Arabidopsis thaliana: one gene and its partners. The protein of the gene in region 3 interacts with the protein of the main gene of each other region in a pairwise test. Each region holds a gene or a part of one and is shown on either strand. Other genes may lie near its edges. The genes, in order: AT1G55805, AT5G17560 and CXIP2.

Region 1 (3,386 bases), on a different chromosome or scaffold from region 3:
GAAGTTCAAAAACTTAGTAAGTGATCACAGAAATGGAAGTGATAACGAAATCAAAACCTTAATAACTCTTACAATGTAAGTAAACCAAGTGTTACCGTATGAATCGAGAGAGGAAGCATAGATATTGGAAGCAGAGCCGAAGCAAGTGGCTAAGCTGCAAGAGAAGGAGAAATCTCCTTCGCCTACGAGAAGTATCTGGTGCTTGGATGAATAGTGTTTGACCCACACTTCTTCATCACCGTCTCTGTCTCTGTTAAGCTCCGAGAGCTCCCTCATCGCCAATGTAGTGAAAATGATGATAGTTTGGAAAGTTGTTTTTTTTTCGTTTTATTTATCTTCGGACATATACTAACGTAACTTGCTCTGTTGATGTATAGAAGAGGGACGGTTTAGCTTCTCCAGACAATGGAAATGACGATTCACTTTACCCACAAAAGAAAAAGGTGATCACTGATTAGATTTGGTTTAAGCCCATAAAGTACATATATTTGTTGCTAAAGGAAGGTGACATGGACTATTGGAAAAGGCGTTTTGTTTCTAGCGTTAGCGATTAGAAGACGCAAACGCCATTGATGACAATGGGAGAATAATCTGAAGAAGAAAGAGACAGAAACATGGAAAAACAACCCTTTTGGCTCCAAGCTAACAAACACGGCACAATCGAGCTTCCTTTGAGAATTCAAACACATGACCATTGATTGGACTTTCAACTAAATGGAGCCTTAATTCAATTCATCAAGCTATGACCATTATAGTTTTGAATGCTAGAAAAGACAGAACTCGAATTGAACTAAAAGCAAGTGTCTTTGTTCCAACACACAATTCCAGAAACACCAACACACAACCTCAAGCGTATGTAAAAATGAAGACTTTGGCTCCGCAATAAATTCCAAAACAGAGCACTTTGATGGTAAAAATTCAATCTTTGAATCGAACAGAGTTTGATGAGAAACTCTGATAACAGAAACAGAAGATACATTAAACAGTACCAGTACACTAGTCTTTAGAAGGAGACTCAGACGGCGTCTTGGAGACGATAGAAAGAGCGTGCAATCCAGTATCCAACTCTTCCCGGAGCAAATGATAGACCAACCTGTGTCTCTTCACCAAATTCATTCCCTCGAATCCTTTAGAAACGATCTTCACATTGAAATGCGTCTCATCGTCGGTTCTACCTTTCATTCCGGCGTGACCAGCGTGCTGATACGAAACATCTTCGATCACTAACTCCACTGGTTCGAGCTCTTTTTGAAGCTTCTCTCTCATCCTGCTCGCTCGATTCTCTATTGCTCCAGAATCCGACCCGGTTTTCTCAACGCTGCTCATTGCTACGGATCTTGAACCAGTTCCCGTCGATTTTGACTCAGAGTTGAAGAATTTAGGTACGGAGATGAAGACGCTCGGAGAATTTACCGGCGATTTTAGGGGTTGAGTCCGGTGGAACCCAGATACGATTAACCTAATCGAAGATGAAAACATTGCCACTGTCGAAGAAACTCGAAACTATATTAGACGCTGTCGTTTTGTCAGCTTATCATCTTCACGAATCTACTATTAGAGGCGTTATTTGCATTAAGGTCCACAAATTTTCAAATATAATAACATCACCCCACATTTGTGAGAAAAAAATTACAAAAAAACAAACAAACTCTAAAAGTGTATCGAAACACCCTCATACTTCTTCACATTTGTGTGAGAAATCAAATAACAAATACATTCGAAAAATGTTTGTGTATATGATTTAATATTTTTTTGGTGTGGTTAAAAAACTTAAGACATAATTAAGTAATAACAATTTACAATTGTAACGTGGATATTTTTTGAAATGTTGATTTATGACCAAAATAGTATTAGATGAATTCTCCAAGAAGATCATGGTATGATAAGAATAAGATGGTATAGTGCTAAAACATACCCAAAACTGTAATCAGTTTTTGAAGTAAAGGCAATATCTTTGATTTGGGTAATAGTTTGTTTCGATAATTTTGGATGTACAAAATTAATTTTTAAAGTGGTTCTAAGCTGCTCATCCAAATTTTTTAAGGATCCTAATCTCTGGTCTAAACTTCATTAATGAATCATAAAAAAATCTACGGAACTAAAAGAAGAAATTGATTATATCCTTCAAATTTTATAGACAAACAATCGTGCAGATTAAATTGTAAATATGCTAATTTTGTTCCTGTGTATAATATTTTACATTGTAGCATCCTTTGGTAGTGTAGATGTTGAGAAAACTAATATTAATTGGTAAATTATATATTTCGAAAAACAAAATTCAGGTAAATAGATTTGGAGGAAACATATGAAGTTAAAATGTTATGGATAAAAACAGAATAAACAAATTATTGTAGACGTAATCCAAAATAGTATAAAATAAATAATTTTGCAGTAACGTAAGATTGCATTCGACCACACGCATCTATATCACTGCGTTTTTAGCTGCAGCTTTCGATAGTAGGTCCTACATCCTATTCGGATCTGACGTGGATCCTTGATCACACTCTCTACTTTAGGGACTCAAACACTCTCACATTTACGAGAATTGCCACTACCACGTCCCTCAGTGGGAAGGGTACTTTCGTAAAACCAAAAAAACCACTTTCCGGTTTCCGCAAAAACCCGTCACCGCCGCTGCATCCTCCCTTCATTCTTTTCTCTCTTTCAACGCATATACATACACTTATATACGTTATCAATATATTTTATTTTTAATAAGTCCAGTTTTTGTCTGTGCATCGAGTTTAACAGGCAATGCTCGTGTCTCTCTCTCTTTATATGTTTAGATTCTTTATCTGGAACTTGGAAGCTCTTTTGTTAGCTATATCTAATCGGTGATCTCGAAGCTTATTCAATCCCTCTTTCTTTTTTCGTGAGTTTTTATCTTCATGTTGATTCGGTTTATATTGGTTTATATGATGATGAAACGTTTCTTATAATTCTTTTGCATGTATTGATCTAAAAAAATCTAGCTTTCTTCTCTTCTGATCTCTGTTTTCTTTTTGTTCTTTCCCTTTTTTACCCGGGAAAAAGTTACGGTTTCATGTTTAGGATTGGCGTTACTATTATCTGGTGGCCTATCATGATTGGTTGATTGTTTTGTGTGTTATACTGGATTTGAGAAAATGGGTATCACGGCATTGGCACTTGTGGCATCTAACTAATATCACTAAAAAGTTTGATTCTTTTGAGGAATTGTTTTTTGACTGGAAAGTGTTCCTTTTTGTTCCTGGATGGTGACAACAAAGGTAGCTTTGCTTTCCTTATTGGCATATTTCATGTGAATTTAGATTTGCATATTTGTGTTGTAGGAATGGCTTCAAAGTCGGATGTGAATATAATAGAGACATCCTCAAAGGTTCATTTCTCAGGATTTCATCAAATGG
Region 2 (4,213 bases), on a different chromosome or scaffold from region 3:
TTGTAAATACCAATCATAATGTGAAAAAAAACATGTGATGGGTTGTGGTAGTATAGTATCTATAAAACCTATGTTTGTCTACTTGTAATAATTGGAGTTAAATGAACTTATGTTTCCAAGTTGTAACAATATGAGTGTTTTCTTTTTTTACAAAACAACATTATGTTTCTAATGATGGTATAATAACCGATAACAAAAAAAAAAAAACTGTTAATCCATGTAGCTAAAGTAAAGATATGGGAATTTGAGCAGATGGACTAGTTGTAACCATTATTAAGTGTTGCTACTACTGATATAAACGATTTTTGTCTAGTTGATGGCTAATACGGTTCCCAAATCAACCATAGTAGTTCAATATTCAGTTATTCACTATTCATGCATGTAACATGTATATAAAAGCAACAATCATATTATTATAAATCTTACAATTTTCATTGCAAAAAACTTTTCAGTTTTGAATTGATACGTTTCCATGCATACATATAATTTTTATGACCACAAATATATTTTAATCTATTTATCGACTAAATTTTTTTTTTTGAAATGATAACATTAGCTAGTAGAGAATAAAGTTTATTTTGAAGATAATCCGCCACCACAAACGCTAATTTTGTTCTTATTCATTTAGAGCGATTGAAAACGCCAAACACGTGTAACCGCAAACCGCAAACGCTCCAACACTTAACATGTGTTGGCGGGTTGCAAGAGAACCAATCAAAGTACTTAAAAAATAACCAAAAGCTGTATATCAGTTCCTTTTGCTTTTTTCTTTTTGATAAAACAAACAGCATTGTCAGCTAATCAAATAATATAAGATATTGAAGCCTTTTAGAGTTCGGAAAATTTAACGCTTCAAACTTCAGAAGGAGTCTTTGTTGTCATTTGATCAACGGCATGAACAACGTTCTGAAGCTCTTCCCAAATGGCTTTGTAGACCATCCTTTGTCTGTTCACTGCAGATTGTCCCTCAAAAGCCGATGATACCACATTGATGCTACAAATATTAAGCAAAACTGGTATTAAGTAACAGAACCATCTAATATGACAAGTTAAAGTAAGAATCTATGACTGGATTCCATCAAGAGCAGAAGAATAAGTACTAACTTATATCCCAACTTTGATGATTCTACTACTTGTTGAACCTGAAACTTTTTTGTGATTAAAATGAAAGAAAAGGAATCTCAAAATATGAATTTATCTATATATCTAACAAACTTCACTAAACACTATCCATAACAGTGATAACACACATCTGCAACTTCACTCAAGTGTAATAAAGAATCATCATTGGAAGACAAAAATGAGTTAAATCAGAGTACTTACCAGACATGACGTCCATCTCCAGACATATCCGTTACAGTAACCGACTCTGCATTCAATTGTTCTTTGATCTGCAAATGAAGCCAAAACCTCATAAGTAGAGAGACATGTGTTGATAAATCGAAAAAAAGAATCGTTTGCTTCAATCATATAAGTAAGAGACATGATTCCTCATTAATTATCTTAGCTTAGTGATCTTGATCATTTTGGAGCTACTGAGAGCAATCGTGTTGCCAATACCAAGTTTCCATCAACTAAATATGACACATGTTGCCAATACCAAGTATCCAATCAATTCCTTCAAAAATTCACTAATAATACTATAACCTATAAATTGAATTGACACTGAAACATACACAATGAATCAATTTCACTGAAATTAGTTAATGAGGTATAAAAATCCAACCTTTAGCTCCATGGATTGCATAAGGGTTTGATCAATAGAACCAGCATCATTGATTTGAGAGGATTTAGTACTGAAATTAAGGCTGCGAATGTCCAAAGCACCAAACCCAGAAACCCTAGAAACTCTATTGCCGTAAATCGACGACGGCGCAGTCTCTTTACGAGACAAAACGGCGCTTACACATCTCGAGTTAGTGAATCTCACGAGAGGAGCTGAGAATGAAGCGAAGGGTCTCTTTGAAGATTGAAAAAGGCGATAAAGACTCGCTCTTGTGGAAGAGAGAAGAACGTACGGACGAGTTGTCGCCATTAATGTCTGCGCCATTGCTTGAGAGACTTGCGAGTAAAAAAAAAAAAAATGTTCTGTGGCAATGTCGTTGGTTCTTGAAAAAATGGGCTTACGACACAACACAGTTAAACTTAATGGGCTTTCGTGGTTTCAAGTCATTTTAAGATTTTAATAATATAATTCTTTAATGGAAATAATGTCAGCCGTTGGATCGAATCCTGAACTTGATCAATTGAACAACACCGCCTTTGGAAATTTGTTTCTCTCTTCAATGCGATAATTCTCTCTTCCTCTTCGAATTTTGTGAGTTTCTTCGAGAGTTGAGGAAGAGAGACTCGAGAATATGGCCAACGATACTCACACCGATGACTTAGACGAGCTTCTCGATAGTAATAATTTCCTAACGAATTTTAATTTGATTTGATAACATGTTCACCAATTCTAGGTGATTGGTGAAAAACGTTTTTGTTCTTGTGGGTTCGTTTTCTATAATTTAGAATTCTGGGTCTTTCTCAGGTGCCTTGGATGATTTCAAGGATCTTAATCTTACTCAAAGGTTACTCCTTTTTCTCATAATCTCTGTCTCTCTCTAATTGTATCTATGCCACGTGGTTAGATTACTTAGCTCTAGAGTTTTGAGATTGTGGTTACATCAATACTAAATTAGAGGTTCTGTTATGTTTTTGGTGGGAATTGTGGTGTTGATTAGCTTTGGATTTATGTAGAAATGGAGGGGTTAAGAAAGAAGAGGGTGATAAAAAAGAGACAGAGTCATTGCCAAGTGGGGTTCAAGGTCTTGGAATGGGGTTACCAGATATGAGGAGTAAGAAGAAAGGAAAGAAAAAGATTGCTAAAGAGGACCATGTTACTGAGGCACTTGATAAACTCAGGGAACAAACTAGAGAAACTGTGAAGGGACTTGAGTCCTTGTCATCGAAGCAGCAACCTACAGGTTCTGATGATGCTATGGTTGAAGATTGGATCAAGCAATTCGAGAATCTTACTGGGTCTAACGTAAGTATACACAAACTGAGTTGTTACTTCTTGCTATACTTATCTAGTTTAATGTTCTCTTTATCTTCAAGTTCTCTGATTAGATTAGATTACTAAAGTTTCATCTAGTTAAGGTTGTTGCAGAGTAGTAACACATGTTGCAAAGTAGTTTTGAAGGCTGTGTTAATAGTAGTGATACTGATACTAATATCGAAAAAACCACAATTGAAGATGAGAATTAGTTTGCAGAACCATTTGAAAGTAGTCTTGATCACTAGAAGTTTTGTTTTTATGATTTCTCATTTCATAATTTCCATGTTTTTGTTTAGGACTTGGAGTCGATAGTGGACACGATGATGCAACAGCTGTTATCGAAGGATATTCTTCACGAACCAATGAAAGAGATTGGTGCAAGATACCCAAAATGGCTAGAAGAGCATGAATCCAGTCTAAACAAGGAAGAATTCGATCGTTATTCACGCCAGTATGAACTTATCAAAGAACTCAACTTGGTGTACGAGAACGAACCAAACAATTCGACCAAGATAATGGAGATAATGCAGAAGATGCAAGAGTGTGGACAACCACCGAGTGATATAGTGCAAGAGATGGATCCTGGCTTTGATTTCGCTAGTCTGGGCCAAATGTAAGTCTTCTTCCTTATTGGAATCTCTGTGATCTTTAAAGACCCCAAGGTGACTAAGTTTTGTATATATATATGTTCACAGGTCTCCGGACATGCTCGAGTCTTCACCAAATTGTTGTGTAATGTGAGGGAAGAAACAGGTTTTAGAAAACTGTTTGGCCTTGTCCAGCCATTGAAGAATGGAGAACATGTTTTTGTTTCTCTTGTGCATTGTACAATGCAAAGCTTGTTTAAGTTCTTTTTTTTTTCTTACCTGAATACCAAAGTTATTGGGTTTCGGTTCTTGTTCCTTTTGGTTAGTTCTGTTTTGGAATAATTTTGAATCTCTACACACAAATTCATAAATTCACTGAAACATAAACGTGCTCTTCATCCAATTCATTTCGGCTGTTCAATAAATGAAGTGTCCTATGTAAGGTTTGTCACGTCAAATCAAAAGAGGAAAGAGCCAAAGAGGCATTGCATCATAGTCTCATGGGTTGGCTGAATTTTCGGTCCTATACTAGTTGGAATCTCAACTTTTCACTCTAAACTTTTAGCCACTTAAAAAACCATCATAA
Region 3 (4,548 bases):
CTTTTCATTGAGCCTTTGGTCACTAAATAGCGAGAGAGAGTTAAGTAAATTTGTTTATCCCCTTTAAACAAATTTATTGTGTGATTTTCAGAATCAACACCTATCAACTTATTTTACAGTCTGACTTATATTTTTTTATTGTTTTGTTTTTATGTAATCGAATTTTTGAGACCGTTGACTTGTTGTTTTATTTGTTCATTTAATTTTTTTCAGTTTCCAAAAAAAAAATAAAAAGAAAATACAACCCATAAACTAACCTCGTCATCATCATATTTTTCAATTTTCATGAACGTTTGTTACTCATATAAGTTGTAACAAATGAATACCATAGAATATTTGTGTTATTTTTGAGATATTCATCCTACAAATGAGAATTTAGTACTTAAAATGAATATTTTGTGTTAGTTCACCCAAAGATTATGTCAAAGAAGAACAATAATTCTCTAATAAACGTGCTACAAGAATAAGAATGCTACTAAATTAATCAATTAAATCATTTAACGTAACAATAGTTACTTAACTCCATTTCCAATTATGTTTTGTTTCAACATATATATTTAAAGGGACAATTAGTGTAAAAAAAAAAAAAAAAAAATCATTGGTTAAATGACCACAAAATAGGTGAATTTAGTGGATGGTTATGCGTTTTAAACCTACTCTTAGATTTGTATAGAATCTGTAACCTTTTATAAATGCGGAAAACAGAAAACGAATCTGTAACTATGGAAGAGAATCCAAGCATGTTTTCTCTATAATGAATGTTTGGAGTTACAACTAGAAATAGAGAAGAAAATCGGATGAAACTAGTTCAAGATATTGGCAAGTTCACCATTTTCATACATTGAGGTCAAAATATCACATCCTCCTACAAGTTCTCCTTTCACAAATATCTGTGGAAACGTTGGCCAATTGCTGTAGTTCTTAAGCGTCTCCCTTAGCCCATGATTATACTCATCGTCAAGAACATCAACAGTTTCATAATCAACTCCTTGGCTTTCAAGAATCCCAACAACTCTCTGTGAGAATCCACATTGAGGAGCACTCCTTGATCCTTTTATGAAAGCTACCACTTTGCTCTCTTTCACTAAACGGTCAATCAGTTCCTCCAAAGGAACCGTGAGCTCAACATGGCGACCTGGAGTGAGACGGATATCGGATTTCTTCCTCGGAGTTTGTTTGACAAATGTGTTGTTCCCTGACTTATTCCCCGGCGGAACTTTTCCAGTTACTTTTATATGTTCTTCTATCCATAATTTCCATGCTTGTGTTAAAACTGCTTTATCTGGTTCTTCTACTATTCCAACCTAGCAAAACAATGATGAAATCAGTTATGGAAGATATATCAACAATACCAAAACTTGTCAATATCCATCACATGAGCATAAACAAAGTCCTATTGAGTCAATGGAGCAAATAAACACTAAAATAATCATAACATAAGTAAATCATAAGCAAAATATAAGCAATAAGTGACAAATAAATGATAGAAAGAGGAAAAATGTAAATTCTTAAGATAATAATACAACCCATAAAAATGTAAATTTCTCAAGAGCAATCTTTAGATTTGACTGTTGTAAGCTGATACAGTTAAGGATCATGGACACAAAAAAAACAAAAGCTCTTGTTATTAATTAAAAGAACCTGACACAGAATGGTAATCAAAATGCCAAAGAGAATCAGTTCTCTCCATTGGTACAAAACCGATATACCTCTCAAACCTCGACAAATCTCGCCAATGCGCACTGTCCTGTATCTATAGAGTAGAATTTCCCTAAAAAACTAATCAAAAGAAAATGCTAAAAAAACAAGTCCTAACTCCTAAGTAACATATACAAAATGAACTATTGATGCATCTCCTAATCATAATGTGTGGTAAGTGTTGTTAAAAGAACTCTTACCAACAACAGAACCAAGAACTTCATTAGCTCTAGTTTTGCAAACAATAGTGATCCTAATGATATGAAATACTATCTCTGGAACTAAAGTGATGAACTTTTGTAGTATTCATTTACCAAAACACTTCCCAAATCTATGAACAGTAATAAACAAAAGTCAACCACAACAAAACAAAGAATCCTTCGTTATAGTAACAGACATGCTACTCCTCTATATGAAATCATGGATAAGTACCTTAACGGAGCCACAAAGCTCCGGCACAGATTTGAGATGAGCAGAGACACTCGCAGCGATGTTCCGAGAAATTCCGACGAACTGAAGCTCGTCGCTCTTATCGTATACAGCGTATACACCGGAAGCGGACGGGATTGAATCAGCCTCTGTGATTGGAAGCAGCTCCGTCTCCGTTAGAGATTTGACGGCGGAGGCGATAAAGAAGGAACGACGACGAGACGGAGCTGTGTCACGGAGTGTGAAGGAGAGAGATGGGAAGGAGAAGGATGGTGTGAAGCGTGAATAGAGGGTGATCACAGGGGTATTTCGAGAAACATGTGGACGAACAACACGCGGAGAGGCTGAGGCGTGCAAGGAGGAAGAAATGGTGATTGCAGCCATTTTTGTCGGAGCTGAGAAAAGTTATCGGTGGAAAATGATGAGCTCTTTTATTTGACATAGGATTTTATCCATTGGGCCTGAATTGGACTGTTATTAAGGCCTTATGATACTTGGGTTTTAAATACCATAATTCGGAAAAGTGGGACCCGCTTTAGTTTCTTTTTTCTTACACATTCCATACTTCAGTCTGTTATGAAACAAAAGGAACATTTGTCTAGTTCACTTCATGATCAAGCCAAATCTACCAATGTGACCCAAAAACATGTGTTTAATCCGGTAAACAGATCTCAGTATGGTTTAAAACAGAACCAAAACAAACAAACAAAATTGGATTTCGAACATAATGCTATTTCTGATTAAAAATTGAATCTGAATCCAAGTTAAAACAGTATGTAATCCAAAAACTGAAATCCATTATATTAAAACCGGTTCTCAACTGGTCTCTTTGTATCTCATTATCTAAAAAGCTTTATAAAACAATAAGATTTTGGCACAGCCTAATCGCTTTCTCAGGGCACAGAGCCACTCATATTATTACCCTATCTACTAGGTTCCTGCTTTCGTATACTTCTCAAAATGCTCTCTTTGTTCCCCTGCAATCTGAAATTCAATCATTGACATCATAAGAAAATGTTGTAACAGAAGTGATAAGATCATTGAGTTGTTACATACATGTTGGATTCTTACGTCTTGCCATTTCTGATTGTGGTTTTTATGGAACAACTTCATCAGAGATAACAGCCTTGCCCAGATAAACCTGTTGCATCTCCTCTTTCCAGATCTGCATCAACTTCATATTTTTAATTTGTTTTCCTACAAAGAGAAATTAACTTGTGTGAAGAATAAATATATTTCATTCCATACCGTGTCACGGAACTCCACCCTTATGTGTGGCACGTTTGTTTTGTGAATGTCGTTTCCATCAGGTCCTCTTTTGTAGTAATCTTTTCCAATCCAGTGCGACTGGAACATCTCAACAAGTTAGTATTATTAGTAGATCGGAACAGAGACATCTTGTTCATTCATACTATGGGCCATGTTGATATAACAAGTACCTTCAGGGCGTGTGAGAAACCTGACTGGTACACTGAGTTACGAGCTATCTCGCACAGGTCACACGCACTCAGCTTCCAAACCTGAAAAATCCAGTTATCATCTTCAGTTAATACATAAATATAACTAAAACCTAGAAGAAAAGGATGTATAGAGAGAAATTTCATTGTTCTTCGTGTTTGCAATTGCAGAAGATCAGTATAAATCATTTAAAGGTAATAACTAATAAGACTTTTAAAAATATAATCAACTTTTCAAGGCCTATGATGTGTGGCAAGACTGCATAATGGAAAGATTATGACTTACTGATGCAGCTATGCTATACTCTTCCACGAGAGGTTCTTTAGTTAAGTGAATCTGAAGGGGGTCATCAGTAGACAGAGAAACATTGAGACCTCTTAAGAAAAACACAGGAAACGGGTTCCGGTGGTAATCTAGAAACAAAGAGTTGTTGCTCAGTGGTGACATGGCCAGACCAATCTGTCAAAAGAAATGTCTTCTTAGAACAGAAACAATAATACATATGTAATACATGCAGGCAGTCTCCACAAACCTGGGCGAGGTAGTACAGATACTGAAGCACAGGAGACTTTCGCAGATTGATTCCATGTGCGATGCTATGGCATGTTAGAAACGTAGCAGCCAAGTGGTCAATGTCACCAGCCTGAAATTTGTAGACATGTTAAAATTCCACTGAACTGTAACTGAAAACTGTTTATCTAGCACAAAGGAAGAAATAACACACCTCTCCAGAATGTGGTCGTAGCGTGATAGTAGTCATGCCCTTTGACTCTCGAAGCTGAAGAAAAATAGTTACTCCATATTACACAGTTTTGAGAACACCAAGTTAGTTACAGAAGCGACTAAGAGGAATGGTACCTTATTTAACACATAGAGGTTAGCATAACAATAGTAGACATAATACGAAAATGCAGGATTGAATGCGTTAGTCCATTGAGCTGGAGTGGGCATGTGTTTTGTGGG

The links.
Region 1: the proteins of CXIP2 (region 3) and AT1G55805 interact in a two-hybrid assay, tested with the Arabidopsis thaliana proteins (one study listed by BioGRID).
Region 2: the proteins of CXIP2 (region 3) and AT5G17560 interact in a two-hybrid assay, tested with the Arabidopsis thaliana proteins (one study listed by BioGRID).

Annotation. Positions count from the first base shown.
Region 1 is NC_003070.9:20,857,960-20,861,345, forward strand, and holds AT1G55805 (BolA-like family protein), read right to left. Parts: upstream 1,525-3,386; 5' UTR 1,480-1,524; coding exon 997-1,479; 3' UTR 651-996; downstream 1-650. Other genes in the region: AT1G55803 (ferredoxin-fold anticodon-binding domain protein), read right to left, coding at 96-276; UKL3 (uridine kinase-like 3), read left to right, coding at 3,314-3,386. UniProt on the Arabidopsis thaliana protein: May act either alone or in interaction with glutaredoxin as a redox-regulated transcriptional regulator, or as a factor regulating Fe-S cluster biogenesis. The glutaredoxin-BOLA1 heterodimers bind a labile, oxygen sensitive iron-sulfur cluster.
Region 2 is NC_003076.8:5,786,311-5,790,523, reverse strand, and holds AT5G17560 (BolA-like family protein), read right to left. Parts: upstream 2,167-4,213; 5' UTR 2,051-2,166; coding exon 1,727-2,050; intron 1,392-1,726; coding exon 1,324-1,391; coding exon of another isoform or gene 1,320-1,323; exon of another isoform or gene 1,149-1,319; coding exon of another isoform or gene 1,130-1,148; exon of another isoform or gene 995-1,129; coding exon 853-994; 3' UTR 560-852; downstream 1-559. Other genes in the region: PEX19-2 (peroxin 19-2), read left to right, coding at 2,358-2,403, 2,531-2,570, 2,740-3,028, 3,337-3,653, 3,736-3,781.
Region 3 is NC_003071.7:16,030,544-16,035,091, forward strand, and holds CXIP2 (CAX-interacting protein 2), read right to left. Parts: upstream 2,627-4,548; 5' UTR 2,512-2,626; coding exon 2,131-2,511; intron 1,305-2,130; coding exon 804-1,304; 3' UTR 642-803; downstream 1-641. Other genes in the region: FAC1 (AMP deaminase, putative / myoadenylate deaminase), read right to left, coding at 3,224-3,292, 3,376-3,474, 3,567-3,647, 3,871-4,044, 4,118-4,228, 4,310-4,363, 4,444-4,548. UniProt on the Arabidopsis thaliana protein: May only reduce GSH-thiol disulfides, but not protein disulfides. Participates probably to the maturation of iron-sulfur proteins and to the regulation of the redox state of the BOLA proteins.